Linked DNA regions of Lonchura striata. The protein of the gene in region 3 purifies or fractionates together with the protein of the main gene of each other region. This does not show direct contact. Links are inferred from orthologs where the notes say so. Each region holds a gene or a part of one and is shown on either strand. Other genes may lie near its edges.

Region 1 (7,865 bases), on a different chromosome or scaffold from region 3:
GCCCGGGGGAGCAGGGGCAGTGCCGCTGTCACCTTGTGCCACGTAGAGGATGGCGCGGGCCACGCGCAGCCGCCGCTCGCGCGCGGTCACCTCCAGCCCGTCCAGCAGGCGCATGGCGTGCGTGCGGTGCTGCGTCCGCTCCAGCTCCGGCCACTTCTTGTCCCGCACTGCAAACCACAGCAGGGCTTTGGGCACGGCCCCACCGGCCACCCCAAAATCTCACCGGGTCACTGAGAGCGCCGTGCCAACGCCCCCGCAGCTCCGGCAGCCTCGGTGCCCATTCCCTGGGGAGCCTGGGCAGTGCCAGCACCTCTGGGGGAAGAACCTTTCCTGATCTCCAGCCTGAGCCTCCCCTGGCACAGCCCCAACCCTTCCCTGGCTCCTGTCCCTGTCACAGGGAGCAGAGAGCGAAGCTGCCCCTCGGGAGTAGCTGCACACCCCAGTCAGCTCTGACACCAGGCTCTTCTCCAGGAAAGTCCCTGTCCCTCCCCAGGGGCAGAGGAATCCAGAAAAAGGCTCTTACCGTGGATCCTGAAGTCCTCCTCGAAGCATTTTCGGTTGAGCAGGAACTCTGGCCCCTCTGTGTAGCTGTACAGCTCTGCCAAAAGAGGACAAGCTCCAAAAACCTGCACCAAGCTGCAACTCGGCTGGGAACTGCAGTTTTAGCCAAAATATCAAAATGCAATAAAACCCCACCTAGTGCAAGGCCAAAAATATGAACCACACATATCTTTTTAACATCAATACAGCATTTAAATATAATATTAAAGCGATACTGGAATTGACAGAGTTCCTTTAATTCTACCAGTGGAGGAAATAATGGTGGATTAATTGATCCATCAGAGAAGAATTCCTTACCTGACAGCTCTGCTGTCCATTTATCCGTGTCTGCATATTCAAACTCCAGGTCTGGCGACTCCGAATAGCCCTGAAAACACGGGGGAAAAATCAGTTCCATTACAGCATATTCCAGGAAAACCAAAATCCCTGTAAACACTCACAATTCACCTCATCCTCCTGCAAATCCAGGGCTGGTCTTACTGGTTTAGGGACCAAAAACATTCCTGCAGCAGCACAAACGTTACCGAGGCAACTCCAGCCCACCTCCTGCGTCTCCACGGGCTGTGCCGCATGGAGCCACTGCAGCACCCCCAAAGCACGGGGGGAGCCCCCAGAGCACCACAAACACGGCAGGACACAGGGAGAGGATTCTCTGAGAGCAAGGAGCTCTCAGAGCTCACCCATTTTGCACAAATTTGGGAAAATTTGGGCTATCCCTCTGTGCCGTCCCAGCAGATGGGATTAGTGAGGATGAAACAACTACAAACAGCTTTGGAGAGGCTGCAAAAACAGCCAGGAGAACCTTCAGAGCACAAAATATCAGCTCCCTTTACAGAAGTCAAGACCATCGACCCACAGCTTTTCAGGGCACCCTGTGCTGAGTGGGGCAGGTGCACAGCAAGACTCTCACAAATTTCGGGATCCTGAGCACGGGACAAATCCAGAACTCTCCTGAATTATGAGGCTCCCACTCCTGAGCACTGGGAGGATCCAGAACAGAATCCTCCCCCCCAGAGTGAGGGGCAAACCCATACAAGAACCAACCCAAATTTTGGGGCATTCATTCCTGAATGAAGGGCAAACCCAGAGCAGAATTCTCCTGAGTTATGGGACTCCCACTTCTGAGTGAGGGGCAGATCCACACCAGAACTCGCCCAAATTTTGGGGTATCCACTTCTGAGTGAGGGGCACACCCTGAGCAGAATTCTGGGACACACACACACACCTGAGCACAGGGCAGACCCACACCAGAACCCTCTCGGCACACCCACCCCTGAGTGAGGAGCCAAACCACAGCAGAATCCCAAATTTTGGGGCACATATTCATGAAGAAGGGGCACACCCAGAACTAAACCCACACAAATTTTGGGGCACATATTCATGAAGAAGGGGCACACCCAGAACCAAACCCACACAAATTTTGGGGCACCTACCCTTGAATGAATCCACAAGCAGAACTCCTAAATTTGGGGGCTCCCACTCCTGACAGAGGGACAGACCCACATCAGAACAACCCTGAAGTCCAGGCTCTGAGAGAGGGGCAGCTCCAAGCCCCTTGTGCTGGCTCTGCTCTGCTGGGAGCCCAACCTCAGGTTCTCCAAGATCCCCCCTCACACCCCTCCCCTGGCATTCCAGGGACTTTTCTGAGGAAGCCTTGGGAGAGAACGGCTCCAGGGCCATCCCAGGAATGAAACGCTCTGGTAAAGCCCCGGGATACCTCAGCTCCACACAACCCTGCGAGCCCGAGGCTCAGCGTGACCCCAGCACCGCCGGGTGTCCCTGGGGGGGTCGGTCACCTCTTGCTGGGTCCATCGCTGCTCCGAGCACGGCAGCGGGACCCGACAGCCCACCCCGGGCTGCTGCCGACCGCTAACCCCGAGAAGACCCCCGGGTGGGCAGCGAGACCCCGGGCCAGCCCTGTCACTCCCGTTTGGGAGAGGCGACCGAGCCACCCTGGCGGCCCGGAGCTGGGGAAGGGATGGATGGATGGATGAAGGGGAAATCGGCACCGACCGAGACCAGGCAGCTGCGGGCGGGGAGAGGCCTCTCGGCTCCACAGCCCGGGGCCACAGCGCCAGGGAGCCGGTACCGAGGGGCGGCCCTGCGAGCAGCACTGGAGCACCGGAGCCAGCGGCCGGGCCGGTCCCGGGCAGGGCTGGAAGAGCCGGGCACTGGCACCCCCGGGCACTGGCACCCACAGGGATCCACGAGCACCGGCACCGCCGGGCACCGGCACCGCCCCCGGGCACCGGCACCCATGGGCAGGCCCCGGACGAGGCCCGGCGCGGCCCGCCCCGCCCGGGAAGGCCGCCCCACTCCCGGCGGCGGCGCTGACCTCGGAGTCCTTGCGCGGCGGCCGGGCCAAGTCGCGGCCCCTCCCGGGCGCGGCCGCCCCGCCGCGGCCCTTGTTGTTCCCCGGGCCCGGGCCCGGCCCGGGGCCGCCGCTCGGCTCCATGGCGGCCGCTCCGCCGCGCCGAGCTCTCGCGAGGACTCACCCCCTCCTCTCGCGGGAGCGGCAGGGAGAGCCGGGGCAGCGCCGCCGCCATGTTGGGAGTGGCAGCTGCGGGAGCGCCGGTGCCGCCGGTGGCTGCGGTGCAGCTCCGCCCGCCGGCCCCGCCGCTCCGCCGCGGCGGCCGCGTCACGGCCGGCGCTGCCCGCCCCCGGCGGCCACGGACGGCGCGGCACACGGCCGGGCGGAGGGCTCCGCCCCCGCGCCGCCATCTTGGGCGCGGCGCGGCCCCGGGCGCGGCCATGCTGGGTGTGGCACTTCCGCCTCGCCCAGGGCGCGCCCGGGGGCTGAAGGGCGCCATGCTGGGAGTGGCAGGAGGGGCAGAGCCCCAGTGAAGGGCCTGGAACAAAGGAATGCTCCAGTGGAAGGGCCAGGAATAAGGGAATGCTCCAGTGGAAGGGCCTGGAACAAAGGAATGCTCCAGTAGAAGGGCCAGGAATAAAGGAATGCCCCAGTAGAAGGGCCAGGAATAAAGGAATGCTCCAGTGGAAGGGCCTGGAACAAAGGAATGCCCCAGTTGGAAGGCCTGGAACAAAGGAATGCTCCAGTTGGAGGGTTTGGAGCAAAGGAATGCTCCAGTAGAAGGGCCAGGAATAAAGGAATGCTCCAGTGGAAGGGCCTGGAACAAAGGAATGCCCCAGTGGAAGGGCCTGGAACAAAGGAATGCCCCAGTGGAAGGGCCTGGAACAAAGGAATGCTCCAGTTGGAGGGTTTGGAGCAAAGGAATGCTCCAATTGGAAGGCCTGGAAAAAAGGAATGCTCCAGTTGGAGGGCCTAGAAAAAAGGAATGCTCCAGTGGAAGGGTCTGGAACAAAGGAATGCTCCAGTGACGGGGCTGGGGGCTCCAACCCCAAACTGGGGTCCAATGGGGCTCAGAGGTTAAACCTGACAGGATTTAAACCCCAAGCTAAGATGCCCCTTGGGGCTTTAAAAAGAGTGAGACCCCAAAATCCAGAGTTGTGCCAACGTTCAGAAAATTCTGGTGGGACCCAATGCCTGCCCCAAGATGGCCAAAGGGAGATTCCAGCCCTGCCCTTGGGCTTGGAAAAAACTCCGGGTCGCCCCTGAGGAACACAACCAAAAGCACTTCATTTTTCCTAATAGTTTAATTAGACTTTAATGATTTATTGCTCATCTGCAAGGATTAATATTGCATTCATTAAAAATCATTCCTATACAAAATAAACCTCTCGCTCCCGGCCCGCCGCTGCCGCCGCCATCACCCCCAGGCTCCCCCAGCATGGCTTATACAGACACAGAGCCCTTGGCCGAGATTCCACCCGGGATGGGTGGGAACGGGGACCCCCGGGCGCGGGGGGCTCACGGGGAAGGGGGAATGCTCCCGATCCTTCCCACAAACGCCCATCCCAGCTTGCTAAGCCGTCCCCACGGAGGTCTGGGGGATGGTGGAAGGGACCCAGGTGATCCCTGGGATCTGTGGGGGAGCGAGGCAGGTGATCCCCAAAATCTATCCAGGAGGAGACCACGCAGGGTGGGAGAGAGGAACAGTCAGAGGACATGGAGGGGGATGATCTCAGCACCTCTCCCATCCCCTGGCCCCACAAGGAGTTTTGCACCCCCCAAAACTTGCCATTTCCCTGGGAAGGACCCGTCCAGGTGGATCCCTGCAAACAGGGGAAGGAGCAGCTCCACGACCCAGGAGGTGCCAGCAGCTCCTTTCCTCAATTGGGTGCGGAAAGAACAGGAGCCAGAGGAACCTCAGTGGGTTGGAAGGAGCTTCCCAAACCCCAGCACAAGCTGGGAAAGGGAAATGTCAGCAGGGAGGGCACGGAGGAGGTGATGGGAGCAGCTGGGACACACGGGGAGAGGGTGAGGAAAACAGTCACAGGGAGCAGAGGGGCCGGGCTGGGATATGGGGAAGGCTCATCTCCGCATCCAGCTCAAAAATAAAATAGTGAAACACCCCCAAAACCCACCCCAGACACCCTCAACAACACCCGGCACTTCCCAGTGGGGGATGGGAAGGCGGCCGCGTCCCCAGTGCTTCCTCTTACAACATCTAAAAACAATCCCCGCCCTCTGAAACATCTCTGTAAGGATCAAAAAGGAAAAGAGGGAGAAAAAAAACAAATAAACAAACGGAAAAAATGTTTAAAACTCAATTAAGGTGCAGTTTGGCTAAAAAAAAAAAAAAAAACAAAAACAAAAACAAACAAAAAACCTTGGAGAGATGAGGATAATGCTGGGAAAGCGACCCCCATCCAGATTCAGATTAGCACCCTGAAACACTGAACTCCCCTGGACCCAGGTGGCCAGCAAACCCAGGCCAGTGGCCACCAAACCTGGGCCACCTCAGCGCAGGGACCTGGGCTGGGCTTGGGCACAGTCACCCCCTTTGCCAGGTGTCCTGCAGGCCACTCTGCTCCCAGGAAGCACCCGGAGCAGGGATCTAGCAGCTAAAACTGGGCTCTTTAAGGCAATTTAGAAGTTGCAGATAATCCACACAAAGAAATAGAAGATAAGGTAGAAGAGCATCTCCGGATCCACAGGGAGCCCGGCTGAGACCGATGTGGGCTGGAAAGGTGGGAAAAAGTACAAAATAAAAGCCAAAATAAACAATTGCTGCAGGAATGAAGTGCCCTCGGCCCAGCAGGAAAGGGAAAGCCCCTCCTGGAGCCAGGGCTGGGAATCAGCAGCTTCAGCCACATGAAAGCAAGAAGCAAATCCCAGGTTGATCTGGCAAGATCAGACAGGGATGTGATCATGGAAAAGGGGGAGAAAAGAAAACCTGACCTTAAAGTCACAGATAAAATGTAAAAACAGGTTCTGGTGGTGGTGAAGAAAAAAAAAAAAAAAAAAGGGTAAACCAAAATGAAAATGATTTTTCAAAATAATCTCTCAAATGTTGCCTTGTGTGGTCTGGTCCTTCATGGAAATGGTCCCGTCAGTATCTAGGAGAGAAGGAAGGGACAGTGAGGGACATGGGAGGTGCTGCTGTGCCAGGGCAAGGGGATCCCCCAGAGATTCCAGACTGGCAGGGACTTTAAAGCTCATCTGATTCCACAGGCAGGGACACCTTCCACTATCCCAGGTTGCTCCAAGCCCTGTCCAGCCTCGCCTTCCAGGGATGGGGCAGCCACAGCTGCTCTGTGCACCCAGGGCCCTCCCACCCTCACAGCCACGAATCCTTCCCAATATCCCATCTAACCCTGCCCTCTTCAGGCACTGGAAGGACTCCAAGCTCTTTTGGGAGCCTTCCAGCTCTCCCAGAGGGGCTCCAGCCCTCAAAGCATCTCCGTGGCCTCCTTTGGACACGCTCCAGCAGCTCCACATCCTTGTGGTGTTGGAGACCCTGGAGCTGGAGGCAGAGCTCCAAACCAGCGGGGAGCTGGGAGCTCCTGCCCCAGCAGTTCTCACCTGTAGTAGTTGGGTTTGAAAGGCCCATTTTTGTTGAGTCCCAGGTATTTGGCCTGATCGTCCGTCAGCTCCGTCAGGTGGGCGTCGAACGATGGCAGGTGCAAACTGGCCACGTACTCATCTGGGAATGGGAACAGGGAAAACGGGATCAGGGGGTCCACACCCCCACCACAACATGGGCAGGTGATGACTGGAAGGTCTGGCTGGGCAGCACCCCAAATTCACCATCACCCAAAGCAGGGCTGAGCCCAAGCCTGGGCTGGACGTGCCCCTAAAGGCACAAGGAGGGCATGGAAAATCCCAGAGAGGAAGGCTGCAGGATGTGGGATGCCTCCCACGCTGCAGAACACTAACAAAGATAAATCAAATAACCCTCACGTATTTTAAGGTCACTGCCTCTGGTTGCCTCCCTGAACTCACTGTCCCTCTGGAAGTGTTTCCCAGCCCAGGTTTGAGTTCTTCTGACACTGCTGGCACACGGATTCCCCAGGGAAAAGTCAGTTCCTTCACTCACCCATCTTCTTTGGCAGCAGGTAAACGTCCTGCTTGTACCGGCCCTCGGGAGCGTTGTAGAGCTCAATCAGAGCCAGAGCCTGTGGAGAGCACAGGGATAAGCTGGGAACAGTCAGGAATGTCCACAGCTTGGGCAACACAAAGCTCACAAAGGCAGAGAAGGATCTGGGAGCTGGAGGGACAGTGCAATCATTTCCAACATGCCTTGAGGGAAAAGGCTCCCACCCTGGGTACCTCCCTGTCTGGAGCTCCACAATCCCACTGGAGGGATCAGAGGGCAGGGATGAGATGCCACCCAGCCTGTTTGCAGCATCTGGGCTCAACACCTCGGGGAAAAACATGAGGATGGCTTAGGGTTAGCAGCTCTTCTCCTCTTAAATCACCCAGCTGCTGTGGCACATGGAAATGGAGGGGCTGCTCCTCAGAAACTGGCAGCATTCAAAAACCAAGACAGATTCCTTCAGGACACATGAAACTGCATCCCCTGAGAGCTGGCTTCCACTGTTGGGAACCAAGTCCAAAACACAGGCCTGTTCCCTGTCCCCTTGGGCTGACAGGAGTGAGGATAAGGGAACTCCCCACTGTCAGCCTGGCTGTCCTTCCCCACGAGTGCCAGTGCCACCAGACCCTCCATGTTCCCAGCCCCATCAATCCCCTCAGTGCTCCCAGTCCCATGTTCCCAGTGCCACCAGCCCCCTTCATGTTCCCAGCCCAAACAAAGCCTTGCTTTGAGGTAAGCTCAAACCTGTGCTAGGTGAGCTTAAACACATGCTGGGGGAGCTTAAATCGCTGCTAGAGGGGCTTAAACCTGTGCTGGGGAATGTTAAACCCATGCTAGGGGGTCTCAAACCTGTCCTAGGAGGGCTCAAACCTGTCTGGGGGAAGCTTAAAACTGCCTTCCAGC
Region 2 (7,623 bases), on a different chromosome or scaffold from region 3:
AGCATTTTTCCTAGCAAAAAAAGTGCCCAAGAAAAGGTTTGGGATTTTTGTTTTGTTTTGTTTTTTGCAACAACTTTTGCAACAACTGATTTTTAATTTTTTTTTTACATAATTTCATTACTTAAAAAAAAAAAATGCTTATCACAGAAAGAAAGTTTTTTTGTTTGGTATTATTTGTTTACATACAGCCCTGTTAGGTGTCCACATTATCAGTGTATGTACACAAATGTAGACAAATACCTAAGAAGAAGCAGTGCCAACCCAAACTTAAACACCTGTCAATCCATTACTGTCCAGCAGGTTCTATAGCAAGAAAAAAGGTTGCCTGTTGCTCCCCATTATCACAGTGACACTGATGACATCAGGTGTTCAACTCTTCCAAGACAATAAATGCATGTGCCCAGTTTCATTTCTAATACTAACTATTCTGGAAGAGCTCTACCTTACCTAAAGAAAACTAAGTTTAACATTTCTATTGTCAAGACTGTTAAACTAAGGAGAACTTTGCTCATTATTCAAAAGCATTAACAAGTACACTGAGAAACAATACACTAAATTGCAATAATTAACAGGAGAGTTTCAACTCACACATTCACACCCCATTATTTTTCTTTTTTTTTAATAAGGGTTCAGATGATGCAAGCTCTGGGAGCAAAGGATTACAGAAAAAAGTTGTGTCCTTTCAAATGGCATAAAAAAATTAAATAGTCGAGGTTGTGTCAAAGCTTTTACTTATCTTCCCCGTCTCCTGTGGCCCTTTGAGCCACATTCTTTTTCCCACCTTTGTACCAACAGCAGCAGTCTGGCTATTCCAGCTCAAGTCTTAAAAAGCAACTAATACACTGCACAGGCAGACCAATTCTCCATCAGGAAGGCTGAGGTTCACGCCCTCAAAACAAACTGACATGTGTTTCATTTGCAGAAGAGGCAGCAAAGCACTTTATTTACTGGAGCATTAGTTACCGGAGCTGCAAGCAGCAGTATCTTGCCATCAGGGAAACGCGGACCAATTACAGTCCCTTGTTTATAAGCAAAAAGAAAAACAACAACAACAACAAAAAAACAACCAAAAAACAAACAAGCAACTAAGCATCTTCATCTCTCCTTCTCTCTCCAAATGCATCTTGCATTTCTACAGTTTAAGGCTAGAGCCTTCAATCTTTAGCCAAGTATTAAGTCTGTGCAAATAATTAGTCCTCCTGGTAGCTAGCACTCACTGCAAAATCATGCAAGCTCAAGATTTGTTTGTTCCACTGACTGCACACTAAAGGGTAAAAAAAGAAAAAAAGAAAAAAGTAGGCTAGTTTCACACCCACATGGGCACTCTCTGATTTCTATTTTTTAAAGTCATACACTTGTCAAACAGGTTATTCTGGGAATTCTGATTTCCACAAAATAAACTTCTCTGCTTTGGTCACTTATTATTGTCACTCTGCACCCCTCATCTCTGCACAGCCCATCAGATGCACACACCCCCAACTCCAGAGCTTCAACACTCACAAGGAAACCGGGTGACAGTTTTAATTATGGCAAATGTCTTTGTCTAAAGTCACTGCAGCAGCAGCAACTTCTATAAGGATTTCCAGCAGCAAAGCTGAATAAGCCTGTGGACGTGTTTGTATAACCGAGCCAGACTCTGACAGCGTCCACTTGGTTTGGTCATTTCTCTGAAAGGAGCACAGAGAAGAATAAGGACAATAAAGGCGTATTTCATCATTACAGGATGGGTACTTGGGAGAGTAATTTGTACCCGTCTAAAAAAGCAGAAGCCAAGAGGCTGACAAACTTGACAAGGCCAGCAACAATGACAAGGGCAACACTTCTACCACCCCTCACTGTTCCGGTTGCCAGTGCGGGTGGCTCGCCTTCAGCCGTGTGCTCAGCCCGGCGCAGACACCGGGTACCCTCTGGAAGATCGGCAACAATAAAAGGAGAAGAAATTCTGACACAAACCTTGTAGACTTGCCCGTACGTGCCATTGCCAACCACTTCCACCAGTTCAAAAATCCCAGCGGGGTCCTAGGGGGAGGAAGGGGCAGAAGGGGCGGGGGAGGAAAGGGGAGAAGAGAAGTGGGGTTACATTTTTGTTCAGGCGATGGCTGCTGGCAGAGCCCAGCCAGCGAACCCGGCTGCTGGCGGCGTGCAGCTGTTGCGCCCTGTTTTTCCACGCACATGCCAATACATGCAAACAAAGGAAAAGCAGCCCAGGGCCGCGGTCCCCCGCCCGCCCCCGCGGGAGGGCTCCCCCCATGCGGCCGCGGCCCCCGCGCCCGGCACCGGCCCCGGGCCCGGCCGCTCCCACCCCACCGGCCGCGCAGCCCCGGCAAGGGGCGCGCCGACCCCGGGGGGCCCCCGCCCCGGCCCCCGGCACCGGCACTCACCCGCAGGGAGGAAAGGTCGATATCCACCAGACTTTTTGCAGGAGAATCGTTCGCCATTTTCCCGTCTCTTCTTTTTTTTTTTTTTTTTTCTTTAAATATTTTTTTCTTCTCTGTTAAATAATAGCGAGGCCGCTCCCCCCTCCCTGGAGGAGCTGTGAATTGCGCGGAGCTCCGCTCCTCTCCTCCCTTCCGCCCTTCTTCACTCCAGCCCCGCTGGGTTGAAACTCTTCAGCATTGGGAGGGGTTGGCGGGGGGGGGGATGATGGATAGATAGATGGATGGTGGGAGGAGGAGGGAAAGGGAGGTGAAGGAAGGGAAGGAAGAAGGAGAAGGGGTGCTGCGGTTTGTCCGTCCGTCCGTCTCCCCGCGCTGCAGTGCGGGGCTGGATCCCCCCGAGGATCCCGGCCGGCCGGTCGGTGGCTGGGCGGGTGAGTCGGTGGGTGCCCGCGCGTCCCCGGCGGCAGCGGGCTCACACCATGTCGCGGCGGCGGCGGCAGGAGCGGCGCCGGTGCCGGCAGCCTCTGGCAGCCTCACGATGCGCCCCGCTCCCTGGCATGGCACGGCACGGCTCGGCCCGGCCGGCGGCGCTCACGCCGGGAGCCGGCAGTGGCAGCCGCGGCCCCGCTCTCGCATGGGGGGGCGGCTCACGCCCAGCGCCGCGGCGGAGCCCCCGCCGCCTCCGAGCCCTCCCCGCGGCGCTGCCCTCGCATCAAACGGCGCCGGGCACCGGCGGGCAGCGGCTGCGCGTCCCGGCGGCGGCGGGGCAGGGGCGCGGGGCTGGAGCGGGGTGCTGCGAGCCAGACAAAGATAGCCGGGGAGGAGGAGGAGGAGGAGGAGAAGGAGGAGGAGAAAAAATATACTGCGAGCGGAGAGAGAGAGAGAGAAGAGAACAGCTCCCCCTTCCCTTCTCCAACAGGAAAAACCGGCGGAAACGCGCCCGCACCAGAGCACTGCTGGGTAAACTCGCGGGGAGAGAGAAAGAGAGAGGGAGGGAGCCAGCGGGCGGGGAGGGAACCGGCCGCGCAGCCTGCCCGCCCCGCCGCCCACAATAGCCCCGCGGGGCGGGGGCGACCCCGGGCGGCCCTTCCCCGCCGCACCGGCGCTGGGCCCCGCCCGCGGGAGCCCCACGCGTGCCCGGGCCCGGGGCAAGGACGGAGCCCTGCAGCCCCCGCCGCGCCTCTGCGGGACAGCGCGCTCCGTGGGGGCCTGTCACGGCTCGTATGCACCGTGTGGTGGGGATATTTTCCCATCCCCGGTGAGATGACCAGCAAAATGTCACAGTTCCCCCCTGCCTCGAGATCCCAGGCCCACAGGAAAAAAAACATTATGTCTCATGAAGAGATTTCTACAGAAAGACGGCCAAATCCTGGCCCACAGAACCAGACCCATCTCTCATATTTTAACACATCGTTTACTGACAGAGCTGTCTCAGGCCCCCTTCCCGCCCAGAAGAATCCTCTAGCAGAATTTGAATCGTGGAAAAATCTCATTAACCTCACTTGAGCAAGACACATCAGGCAGTTTGACACAAGTGTAAACCTTGGCAGGATTTGTTTCTCATTGAAGTTTTTTATCACACTGATATGGCAAAAGTGTTACCTGCTTGCAAGAGGTCGAGTTTCCTGTGGGAATCGGGGTTTTCCTGTCTTCTAATTTAACCACAAAATTACATATACATAGCTATAAGTATTACAGAAACATACTTTTGAAACAAAGCAAACCTGTTGAGCAGAAAGTTTAAGGATAAATTACCATAACAGTTTAATGGCATACTTCATTTTCACTTTAAGTGTAGATACAAAGAAAGGAAACTTCAGCCTAGACCAGGAAACTTCATTCTCTGTACAGGAACCTATAGTTAGGAAAAGGCAAGTAATTTCAAATGTATTTGATGCTGTGTCTGCCCAAGTGCATGCACAGGAGTAAGATCAAGTCTAGAGATGCAGTAGGTTTTGAAAAGTGTATTTCTACAAAGATTTATTATCATTGGTCTGGTTTGCATTACATGGTAACTCAGCCTTTTTATGTGTAAGGGAAACCTTGGTAGGTCAGATCCATTTCCTGTCTGTCCCAGCATCCATCTCCAGATTTAGCCAGTAGTAGACACTGAGAGAAGATCACAGGGATACTTTAACCATCCAGTAATACTTCCCTGGCTTATTTTACCAACTCTCTACAGCTCAAGGAGCTCTTTAGCAGCATTTGGTGTCCCTGCATTTTGTTTTTTTTAATTGTGTTTTCCTTCCATTAGATTGGCTGTTTACTTTCTGGATTCATACATGCTTGTGGCTCTCGCAGTGTCCTTTGGCAGGGAGTTCCAAAGGTGAGCTAACATGTTGTGTGGAGAGCACCTTTTGCTAAACTAAAAAAAAAATATCCTGCTGGTTCTTGTTTTGGAAGAGACACCAATCGTTTCCTATTCATTTTCTTTATTATGTTCATTTTTTAGACTTCTGGTGTGTTTTCCCCTTGGTTTTTGCCAGCTAGTAAGTTCTGGTCTTTTTAGTGATACCACAAATGGAACTCATTCTATATTTGTCCTTCATTGAACCATTTCTAATACCTTCCTTTTTGACATGGGTAAACAGATTTCCATCTCATGTTCATGCTGGCTTCCCCGTGCAGCATCATTGTGATGTCCTCGTTTCTAATCCGCTCCTGATCCTTCCCTTCTTCACTGTTGGGTATGAATATGACATTCCTGTGGCACATGCCTATTATAACTCCAGGATCCCCTTCTGTAATGTTAATACCACCTCAGAGACTGTTGTTGTGCATTTCTGAATGCTGAAAGATTTTCAGGCCCAAATTCTGAATTCTGAGTTTTCCAAACCCAGGACGTAACAACTTCCTTGTGCCTCTGAAAAGTACAGGCCAGGATTTTAGAGATGAGGATCTGAGCCCATATACACATTTTCACCATTCATATTTTCACCAACAGATGTCATTTCACCAGACCTCTGATGTGGCTCCACCACAGTGTTCCCTCTCTGCTTTAAGTTTTTATTTTATTAGAGTGAGTTCAGTTCTTTGGCATGTTTTTGTATTACACTAAAGACTGCTAAAGTGCTAGCAACAAGATTGTGAATTCTTGAAAAGTAAGCCATCCTCTATCTTTAGGGGAAAAAATAGTTTTCATAAAGCAGTAAATGCTTTATGAAGAGAGCTTCCTGCTAGTTCCCAGAGTGAAGCACCACGATGCCTCAGCTTCCTTTTTCTTCTACTCAAGTGAAGGGATGAAAAGCTTGCTTTTTTGAGGAAGAAGCCTCTTCAGCTGTGGCCAAAACCACTCTCTTCACATGTTCATCATGCTCTTCACCAGCTCAGTGTACATAACCAGTTTGAAAGTCCAAAGGTTGAAAGACCAAACCTAAAACCACTGGAAAGAAGAAGAGCAATCTGTTTTAACTCTTCCTCATAGTGAAACCAGCAATGCTGAAGTGAGACAGAGTGAGACAGCCATCAAAAATCATAACGAAGACTAAATGCAAGGAAATGCATTTTCAACCCTGTGGATCGTCTCCCCACAGAGCACACATGGTTTTTCTAATGACAAACTTCAGAAGATTTATCAAAATATCTGAGTCCACTGGGGAGCAAAGCAGGAGAAAGCTGGGACCTGTGTGCTGCTTTCCATCACCCTCAGACACAGTTGCACCCATTCCTGCTCAAAGTGCTCATAGCAGTGAAGGGAACAGAGGAGTTGAAGCTCCCTGAGCAGTTTCAGTATCCCTGAAAGAGGGGTCCTGAGCTTCCCTTTCTCTGACCATTTATTCCTATTGAATGGTACCCTTGTGTGGATATGAGCATTCCTACAGCTACATAGTGAGCCAGGACTCATAGCAAAGCTAACCCACAAAAGGAAAATAACTTCTAATGTTATTATTGATCAATTCCTTGGGCTGGTTCATCACGTGTCTCCTTGAGCTGATGTGTTAACAAAAGGGAAACCGAGGGGTCAGAAACTAAGTGGAGGGCAGGAACTGTGACCACAGCATTGCCTCTTGGTTGCGGCTGTGGCTTAAGCCAATTTCAACTCTCAGTGGACCCATAGGGGTAAAACTAGAGAAACTTCCTTCCTTACTGGAAGAGACACTGTGGGAGTGATGGGAACTCAACATTTATGTTGTAGCCACAAAAGAAATTCCTTGCCCTCTATTTTTTTTCAAGTTATTTGAAATTGTCTTTGTTCTATAATTTTCCACTTCTAATATGCCAGGGCTCTAATCACTGACCAGAGATGCAGAGGTCATCAACTGCACTAACTTTTTATGAGCTTAATCATCAACAGTATTCAAGAAGATGAGTAAAGAGACAGGAAGTTCTGAATTTTCATTTTGTTCTACTACTGATTCATCCTATAGCCTTGGGGCATCTCATTTCCTGCTTCCACTCTCGTTCTCTATGTGGAAAATGGGAGTGATTTTGACCTCCTTTATAGTGTGAAGTATTAGACATGTACCCTGTCATACTCTGGGGAAATTGTTCTCTCCTTGGCTGAAACAATCCCTGAGGGAGGCTCAAGCTAGGGTGATAAGTAACAGAGGACAGGGTAGTGAGTGGGGCTGAGTCAGGCTTTGCATAGTCCAGCTCTCCTGCTGCACATGGAGCAGAAGGAGGCTGGGAGACTTTTCCTCATGCTATTTATTGCAACACATACTGGGAGTAGATCAGTTACAAAAGGATGCCATACAATCAGCCTCCCTCTAGCTTAGGCTCCTCTCCTCCTCTGCTGTTTCCACCACCCCTATCTCACACCTCCATGTGAAAGCTGCTCTGTGTGATCTCTGCAGGCACACCCAGGTTTTCTCATGCTGCATCTTTACAATGTCATATGGGGTGGACATGTTCCTGCAGCTCTGATTGCCCAGTTGCGCACACACTGCTGCTGGTGACATCCTGCTGCTTCCCGCTCCTCAGGATGCTGCACTGCCTCCCACACTGATGGGTTTCCCTCATTCCAGCATGCAGGAATCAGGCTCAGGCACATAGCCGGGCCCAAGCTTGGGGATGCACATGTAGATGATGATGTAGGTGACATGAAGATGCACAGGGCCAGAAAGGAGCAGCTTTCCACCAGCTGTACTCTTTGAGGCCATCACTGCCCACACCCTGGCTGGCTTCCTCTGTTAGCATTTTGGGGACTGGATTGAAAGGACTCCTGAAATACAGGGGATGTCTAAATATAGCAATCCTGCTAGTGCAGGAAGAGTGGCAAAGTGAGTCAGAGCCTTTCCACAGC
Region 3 (7,910 bases):
AAAATCATAAATATTATTATAGATTAACACACTCTCAGAATTCTTGTTGACGTGTGACAGTTCTTCTTTTTAAGCATGTTAAGTGGTAGACCCCTAAGAGGTAATTATTAATCTTGCACATCAAGAAAGCTCCGAAAGAATTAGCTACATAGAGCAGCTGCACTCCAGCCACTGATGATGTAAAAATGAGCACAGTCACAATCCTGTGCAAGCTCAAGCAATGACAGCTACACAAGAAAAGCTATGAAAAGTACCAGCAAAGTGTCTGGATCCCAAATGTTTGAAATCTTAATTTGAAGACAACGTTTTAAGGTGTAATAAATTCCATTCAACTGACATGACAAAGTTACAATTATCTATGTTACTAAACTGATTTTACCAAGCTACGCCATCTGACAAGGGAAATGGCAAACTCTTCAGCAGCTGTGTTGGAAAAAAATTCTATTTTCAACTTTGCCTTGTTTCCCTCCTCATACACAGTACTATTAAAAAAAAAAAAAAAAGAAAAATTAAGAACTCTGTTACAGCTAAGCCAGCCATTTTCAGCTGCCAAACTGAAGTTTAGTTCCATTTTAGTACCAGGAGACTGTGGATCATAATTCATCTAGTTAAACTGAGGATTACTTGTTGACATCAATTTTGAACAGCCCAAAATAACCCAGTCTTCAAATTTGGGGGGAGGAAAGGGCATGAGATTATTAAGAGAACTGGCAGTAGCAGTTTAAATGCTGCTTTGCTGTGATTAGCAGAGAGCACATCACGACAAGGAATGTATTGATCTGAAGTTGTGCTAGAACCGATATGACAAAGAGAAGCTGGAAAGAGAAACATTATCACCCAAGTTAATACCACATGAAGGAGCCAGTAAATCTCACTTTAAAGTGCCTGAGAGAACATTTGATTATTTGATTGACTGTATTAAAAATAACCTCCCATTCAATCAGTGAAGTATTTCCTACTTACAATTCTGATTTATTTACAGATCCTTCTTGCAAAGGGCACCAAAGATGAGTGGGAATTCCTGTCCCCGAGGAATTTACAGGTCAAACAACATACAATAAGAACGGCCACACACAAGCTAAAAATGTCCCCTTGACCCATTCTGAGCTGGAATTAGTCTCCAATTAAAGTCACGCTTCTGTGATGAACCCCGTTGACGTTTTTGTGCCACTCAGCATTCCAATTACATTAATATTTGTAATTATACTTCTGAGAGAATGCTAATAGACACAGCTCCACACGAACAGCTCACGGCCCCGCTGGTGTCACCCCCACCTACTCGCCCTTGCTTAAGCAGCACAAGGAAAGTAAAGCAGCAATTTCTTTCTCCTTCAAGAGAACTACACCACACAATTAGTTTCATAAATCCCACGAAATGCAAAGCATCCAAAGGCTTTATTCTCTTTGAATGCTGTGAGGGGCTTAAACCAGAGGTGATCTTTGATGTATGACATGATGCCAGCCTCCACATGCTGAAACACCAACTCAGCTTGGCCTCAGAAGAAGGGCAGCAGAAGAGTTCCAGAACACCTCCTGCTGCTCACCTGTCTCCCCCTGTTTGAGTAATTACTTAAAAAGGGGGGGGGGGGAAATAAATAAGCCTCACAAATATATTCTGTGAGACAGATAAGCAGATGGAAAAACAAACCTGATTACAGCAGATCTCTCCTGAACTACTCTTAAAAGGTTCTGCTCACAACAGTGACCTCTGAGAAAGAGGGAGTAACTACACAGAAGACATCCCACCTTTCAATTTTTGCCCCAACAAACACATCAAAGCATTAAATTCACATGGCAGCTCCACCACTTGTGACACGGCAGGCAGCTGGTGAGCAGAGACTGTTCAAGCACAGCACAAAGCCCGTCAAACAACGTTTGTTTACCACACCAACCCCCAAGAATTCCAGAAAAAGTTGTCATTATCGCCATCGCTGAAAGCCACCGTGGCAGCAGAAAGTTCTCAGCAGGCGGGCTGTGCCAGCCGTGCAGGACACCCGGATCCATCTCCTCCATCACTTCTCCCACCCGCTGCTCCCAAGGGAGCCGTGACTGATGTGGGGACAGGCTGATCCTGTCACTCCCAAGGAAGGACTCACAGACACATCCAAAGGACTCGCAGACACATCCATGACCTCCGCAGACAAGTTTATCTTATCCTGCCAGGAAGCTGCTGCAGTCTGGGACTGTGGAAGCAGACAGGGAGGCGCTGGCAGCGTGGATTAACCAAGGTCTGCCTCGCTCCTTAATCCAACTTTCCTGATTTTTGTTTGGACTTCGGTTCCCAAAGACGAGCCCGATTTTGAAATACTTCCCACACTGTACTTTAAAAAGCATCCACAATAGGTGATCACAGAATCACAGAATGAATCACGGAGCGGCTTGGGCTGGAAGGGACCTTAAAGATCATCTTGTTCCAACCCCCTGCCATGGGCAGGGACACTTTCCACTATCCCAGGCTGCTCCAAGCCCCGTCCAAGTTGGCCGTGGACACTTCCAAGGATGGGATAGGCAATACCATGTTAGTTCTGCTACCCAAAACCCACAGACACAAACCATCAGTGCCATCACCTACTCCAGCACCGCGTGCGGATCCACAGCGGCACACGCGACCACGAACAAAACCAGAGCGGGAGGGAGGCAGCGCAGGCACGATCCCACCGGGCACACCGAGGCACCACAGCCCGGGGTCCGGGAGGGAAAACCCGAGTCCCCGCCTTCGCAGCGAGGCTGTGCCAGCCTGCCTTCCCCCAGCAAACCCTTCCACGCGGGACACGGACACAGCGGGATCGGGGCCGCGCTGGAGGCGCCGATCACCGCGGGTCCCGGCCGGCCCCGGCTCTGCTCGCCCCCGTTCCCCCCGCGCCCCGCAGCGCTGCCCGAGGAGGGCAGCGAGAGCACAGGGCTTTACCTCTCCGCCGGGATCCGTCCCTCAGTCCCTCAGGAACACGCTCTGAGCACTGGGAGCCGCCTGCGCCCCGCGCCGCCCCCCCCCCCTCCCGCGTTCCCCCCCCCCGCCCCCCGCTCACGACATGGTCTCTCCCGAGGCGCCGCGGCTGCCGCGGCCGCGGGCGCTCCCACTCGGCGCGGCGGGGGGGGGGAGGGGGGGAAGGCTGTGCCCGCACTCCTCTAATGGCGGCGGCCGGAGCGGCCCAAAGCAAAATAAACCCCCGCACGGCCCAGCTGCACGTCAGCGCGGCCTGCCGGCCCTGCGCGCCGCCCATTGGCCGGGCCCGCTCCTGCCTTCCGCCAACCGGCGGGCGGCTCTTTGCGCAGGGCGGTGATGTCATCGCTGCCGCGGGGTGCCGCGCGCAGGGCGGCCGCCAGGGGGCGCCTCCCGGGACGGCCCCTCAGGGCGGGTCCCGAGGGAGCCCAGGGGCGGCTCCGCCACCGACCGGCCCTGCCCGGCCCTGCCCGGCCCGGCCCGGCCCTTCCCGCTCCCTGCCGGGTCCCGAGGGAGCCCAGGGGCGGCTCCGCCACCGACCGGCCCTGCCCGGCTCTGCCCGCTGCTTCCCGGCCCGGCCCGGCCCTTCCCGCTCCCTGCCGGGGCCCGAGGGAGCCCAGGGGCGGCTCCGCCACCGACCGGCCCTGCCCGGCCCTGCCCGCTGCTTCCCGGCCCGGCCCGGCCCGGCCCTTCCCGCTCCCTGCCGGGTCCCGAGGGAGCCCAGGGGCGGCTCCGGCCCTTCCCGGCCCTCCCCGCTCCCTGCCGGGTCCCTCGGCACGCTTGGGGCGATTCCAGCCCTGCCCGGCCCTGCCCGCTCCTCCCCTGCCCATTCCCGTGCCCACACCCCTGCCCCGCACGTCTGAAACGTGAAATTTTAAGGAATTTAAGAGATTTTTAGAGGAGCTTATATTTTTAGTTAGAGATAAGCCTCACTAGAGTTAATTAAATGAGTAGGCCTCGATGAAGTGAAGAGTTAGGAGTTAGCTAATAATTGGTGGCTTGTCAGCACGATGTTCAGTTAGCTGGGTTTATAGTGAGGAGTATAGGAACTGACAAATAGGTTTTAGGAATGCAAGACAATTGTGGGCCTCCTCTGTTCTGAAGACAAGGAATGGGAGTTCTACCAAGAGTTAATTTGTCATGTTTGCATTGAAAAGGTAGAAAGGTCAGAACAAGAAAGACTTCATTGACTTCCTCATTTTGGGACCCCCCCCCATGAAAGGGACACCGACCCATTTCAAGGAACAAACCACGCATGCTTAATAGCTTTTGAAATTATTAGCATAGGAAGCGAGGAAAGGGATGTACCAAAATGATAAATATGTATTTGCATTTTGGGTATTCAATACTTGTATGGATAAAAAGGCTCTGTAATCACCTGGAAGCTGCGGTGTGGATTTGGGAGCGATCCTGCACACAATAAACACACGCTTTCTAACTTTACACGTTAGAGGGTTTTTGTCCATCACAGATGGACATCGGAGGTTCCTGTGGGAGTAATCCCTCAAAAAACCTCCTTAGGATGGCACGTGGCCAGGCAGCAGCATTGGTTTGTGGCAGCTGATCCCAGAGTCACTGAGGTTGGAAAAGCCCTCTCAGCCCATCCAAGCTGTGCCCAATCCCCACCTTGTCCCCAGCCCGGAGCACTCAGTGCCACATCCAGCCCTTCCTAGTTCACCTCCAGGGATAGGGACTCCAAACCTGCCTGGGCAACCCCTTCCAATGTCTGATCACCCTTTCTGTGAAGAAATTCCTCCTAATGTCCAACCTGAACCTCCACTGGCTGCAGCTTATGACTCTGTCCTTTGTTTCTTACCAGCACTCATTGAAATATTTCGCTGTGGAACAACTGAAGGAATTGATGGGAATCCAGAATCCAGCAGGTGCCATGGTCAGGTTGATATGGTGGTGTTGGGTCATAAGTCAGACTCAGTCTCAAAGGTCTTTTTTAATCTAAATTGATTCTGTGAAATAAATTTTAAACACTTCCTCCACGTGTTAATTCCAGCCATTTTGACCCAAGACAGGAATGTGTGGGATTGCAGTTCAGGATGGAGTTCACCCTGCCCAAAAAGACTCATCCAAGCAGCAGCCCCACAGTGCAGAACCCATTTATCTTCTGAGAAGAAAAGACCAGCAACAACAGCTCTGCCAGCCCTTGGGTTCAGTCCTTGTGCTGGCTTTGCAATATTTTTTTTTGCTTTCCACACAAAAATTGCGAGACTGCATCTTCCTTAAGCTGCCCTTGTAGGCTCACTGACAGAAAATGTGTATTTTCCACATCCTTGTTTTTCCTTCGTGGGTTTTACATCTTTTGATACATGATATTTTGTTCCCCCCACTGCATTTACTACTTTTTATTTCAGGCTTTCTCAGATGTTTTAGCACTTTCTTATTTCCATGGTTTCACTCCCCATTCCCAGACTCTGGTAGACAATGCCTTGGGCTTGGTGTTGAATTGGGAAACTCGTCCTGGACCAGCTGGATCCACCCCTTCTCCCTCAGACCATAAAGAAAAGCACCTGAGATGTTCCAGCAGAGCAGTGCTAGAGAAAATCCCTTTGTCCAGAAAGCAAACAACCAGGACTGGAGTCAGGACAAGTAAAATGTAATTACTTATGGAGACTGAAATAGAAATTTGTCTTCATTTGCAATTAAATTAGTTCCCTATAAACATTGAGAACTGTTGCAGGGGGAAGGTAATGTGATTTCTCTCTCCCAGACTAATTATTTACTAAATTCTCTTTCTGACTCCACTGAACAAGTTGGTGCATTTCTCAAAACATAGCTGTAGAAAAAAGGGGGACAATTTTTTTTTTTTTAATAAGACTTGGATAAGTCATGTAAAATAAATATTCCTTGTCATAAGGAATTTTACCATCTCTCAGCTTAGAAATCATCCAGAAAATGAAAATGTATCCCTTGCTCTTGGCATCTAGGCAAGATGATGGAAGAGATGTTGGGGTAAATTCTAAATGCTGCCTCAACTGTGCAACAATGGCAATGTCCAGAAATAACTGTTATATATTAGACTGCATAAAAATATATGAAAATACAAGGAACATCTTAGAACCACAGACTCACAGAGGGGCTTGGGTTGGAAAAGGGTTATAACCAACTGAAAAAATATAATTCCAAAGAATTCTGTGATTCTAAGAGATTTTAATCTCTGCAGAACAGAAGCATTCAGAGTAGTGAAAAAGGTCCCTGGATAGTATTTGAATAACATGTGGGCAAATTGAATTTGAAAATATTTACCAGAGCAAAAGCAAATTCTAGGCTGCATGTCCCAATGACCTGATGTTTTGATGTTGGTGACTTTATTGCTAAGGCCATGTCTCTGGCTTTAGCTCAAAAATCTGCTGGTGTCTCCTTCCAGGTTTACCCTGCAGGAGTTTGCTATTTGTTCTAGACTTAAACAATAAAATACAAGAGGAATGACCTTTCAGCAGGTTAGAACATTGATATTTACACATATAATTTATCCAAGAAGAGCTTTACAACTTCTAATTTGGAGACAAATCAAAATCTACATGGCTTGATAGTCCAGTCCTCAATAGATTTGGTATTTGATTATATTTTCTTTTTTTAAATGTCAGAAAGATAATTCTATTTTTGTCAGAGGTAGCAGAAGTTGTAAGCAAGTGCTAATTTCCTATATCCACCCAAAATTTTCATTTTCTTTCACCAGTTTAAGGAGAAATTTTAACTCCCTAGGAAGGAATTTGGAACAGTCATACTCATTTGACAGCTGAAGCTGTTATTTTGGGAACCTCCCTTCACAGAGCTGGATGTGCTCAGGCCTTGCAGCTCGTGTGCCTTCACACAGAAGTTGTACAACTGCCCCTTGTGCCTCACAATAAACCCACAGCAGAACCATGACATAAAAATATCATTTGCACATATACGTGCTCCAGCTTTCTCTTTTCCCCACTTTTCAAACACCATAAATCCCTGTTCTTGTAACTCCCCACCTTCCTTTGCCATCCTAACTCCAATCTCTTTTCTTCCTGTTCCTCCAGGACAAGAACTGACAGTAAATCTCCTTGTCAGAGCTCACAGATTTGGTAAAACCCAAGCAACGTGCACAAATGCTGTGATTTTGCAGGATTATCCAGCTCAGGGCCCCGCTGATGCCCATCCTTGCCAGCCTGGAGCTGCCCCAGCAGCCTGGAACCCTTTGTGCCTATGAGGTGTGAGCCTTGCAGGCAGCCAGCGAGGCAGATGGCTGGGAAGTTCCCTTCCTTTCCTACAAAGAATTTATAAATTTAGGATTTTTCTGGTGCAACCCTGACTTGCAATTTGCCACTGTCTCCTATGAAACTCGAGCGCTTTGCCTTACAAGATGCCCTGATTTTTTACAATCCTGATGCTTGCTGTTAGTAAAAGGCCTTTCCCTCAACCCTCCCTGACGTTTCTGTTCTGATTCACCCTGTTTATACCCAAGCAAATGATACCCAAAGCTATAATTAGCAAGCAAGCGTTGAAACATTCCACAGGAGCACATTTGTTGCGTGTAGTAGCTGGAGAGACACAGCGACACAAAACTGTGCTTCAGGTAAGCAAAAAAAAAAAAAAAAACAAACAAAAAAAAAACCAAAATCCTAATTATTTTCTGCTGGCATGGAGTGTTTTTGTGCTGCAGCAGAATTACCTCAGCTTGAGTGCAAAGATTACATCTAGTTAGTGATGTCTAAGTGCAGATCCTGCTCTTATGTAATTCTCTTTACCCTGGTAACTCCTCGCTCTCAGGCAGGGCGCTGGCTCCCATTAGGAGATTCATCCTCAGCTTATCCAGGAGCAGGGATGTACATGCTCACCAGATGGTTATTTCTCACTAGCTGAACTTTGGATATGCAGAGCTCCCTACTCAACCAGCTCCTCAGATCCTGCTCTTGCCATCACTTCATCCTCTGTTTTCAGGAGCAAGGAAGACTAGCAGCACTTAGATAAATGGTGAGGAATAGAA

The links. Proteins that work in one complex are often made in the same cells at the same time.
Region 1: the proteins of ZRANB1 (region 3) and STRIP1 purify together in Homo sapiens (affinity purification with mass spectrometry; 4 studies listed by BioGRID and IntAct, with this or other methods). This does not show direct contact. The link is inferred for Lonchura striata from reciprocal best matches to the Homo sapiens genes ZRANB1 and STRIP1.
Region 2: the proteins of ZRANB1 (region 3) and MAP4K4 purify together in Homo sapiens (affinity purification with mass spectrometry; 3 studies listed by BioGRID and IntAct, with this or other methods). This does not show direct contact. The link is inferred for Lonchura striata from reciprocal best matches to the Homo sapiens genes ZRANB1 and MAP4K4.

The regions. Positions count from the first base shown.
Region 1 is NC_134632.1:1,223,113-1,230,977, reverse strand, and holds the start of STRIP1 (striatin-interacting protein 1), read right to left. Parts: upstream 3,017-7,865; coding exon 2,897-3,016; intron 1,126-2,896; exon of another isoform or gene 1,063-1,125; coding exon of another isoform or gene 1,009-1,062; exon of another isoform or gene 1,002-1,008; intron 929-1,001; coding exon 859-928; intron 599-858; coding exon 524-598; intron 168-523; coding exon 33-167; intron 1-32. Other genes in the region: AHCYL1 (S-adenosylhomocysteine hydrolase-like protein 1), read right to left, coding at 5,976-5,982, 6,449-6,569, 6,963-7,041. UniProt on the Homo sapiens protein: Plays a role in the regulation of cell morphology and cytoskeletal organization. Required in the cortical actin filament dynamics and cell shape. Part of the striatin-interacting phosphatase and kinase (STRIPAK) complexes.
Region 2 is NC_134604.1:87,603,747-87,611,369, reverse strand, and holds the start of MAP4K4 (mitogen-activated protein kinase kinase kinase kinase 4), read right to left. Parts: upstream 3,017-7,623; 5' UTR 2,439-3,016; coding exon 2,382-2,438; intron 2,020-2,381; coding exon 1,954-2,019; intron 1-1,953.
Region 3 is NC_134609.1:29,350,673-29,358,582, reverse strand, and holds the start of ZRANB1 (ubiquitin thioesterase ZRANB1), read right to left. Parts: upstream 3,004-7,910; 5' UTR 2,909-3,003; intron 1-2,908. UniProt on the Homo sapiens protein: Ubiquitin thioesterase, which specifically hydrolyzes 'Lys-29'-linked and 'Lys-33'-linked diubiquitin. Also cleaves 'Lys-63'-linked chains, but with 40-fold less efficiency compared to 'Lys-29'-linked ones.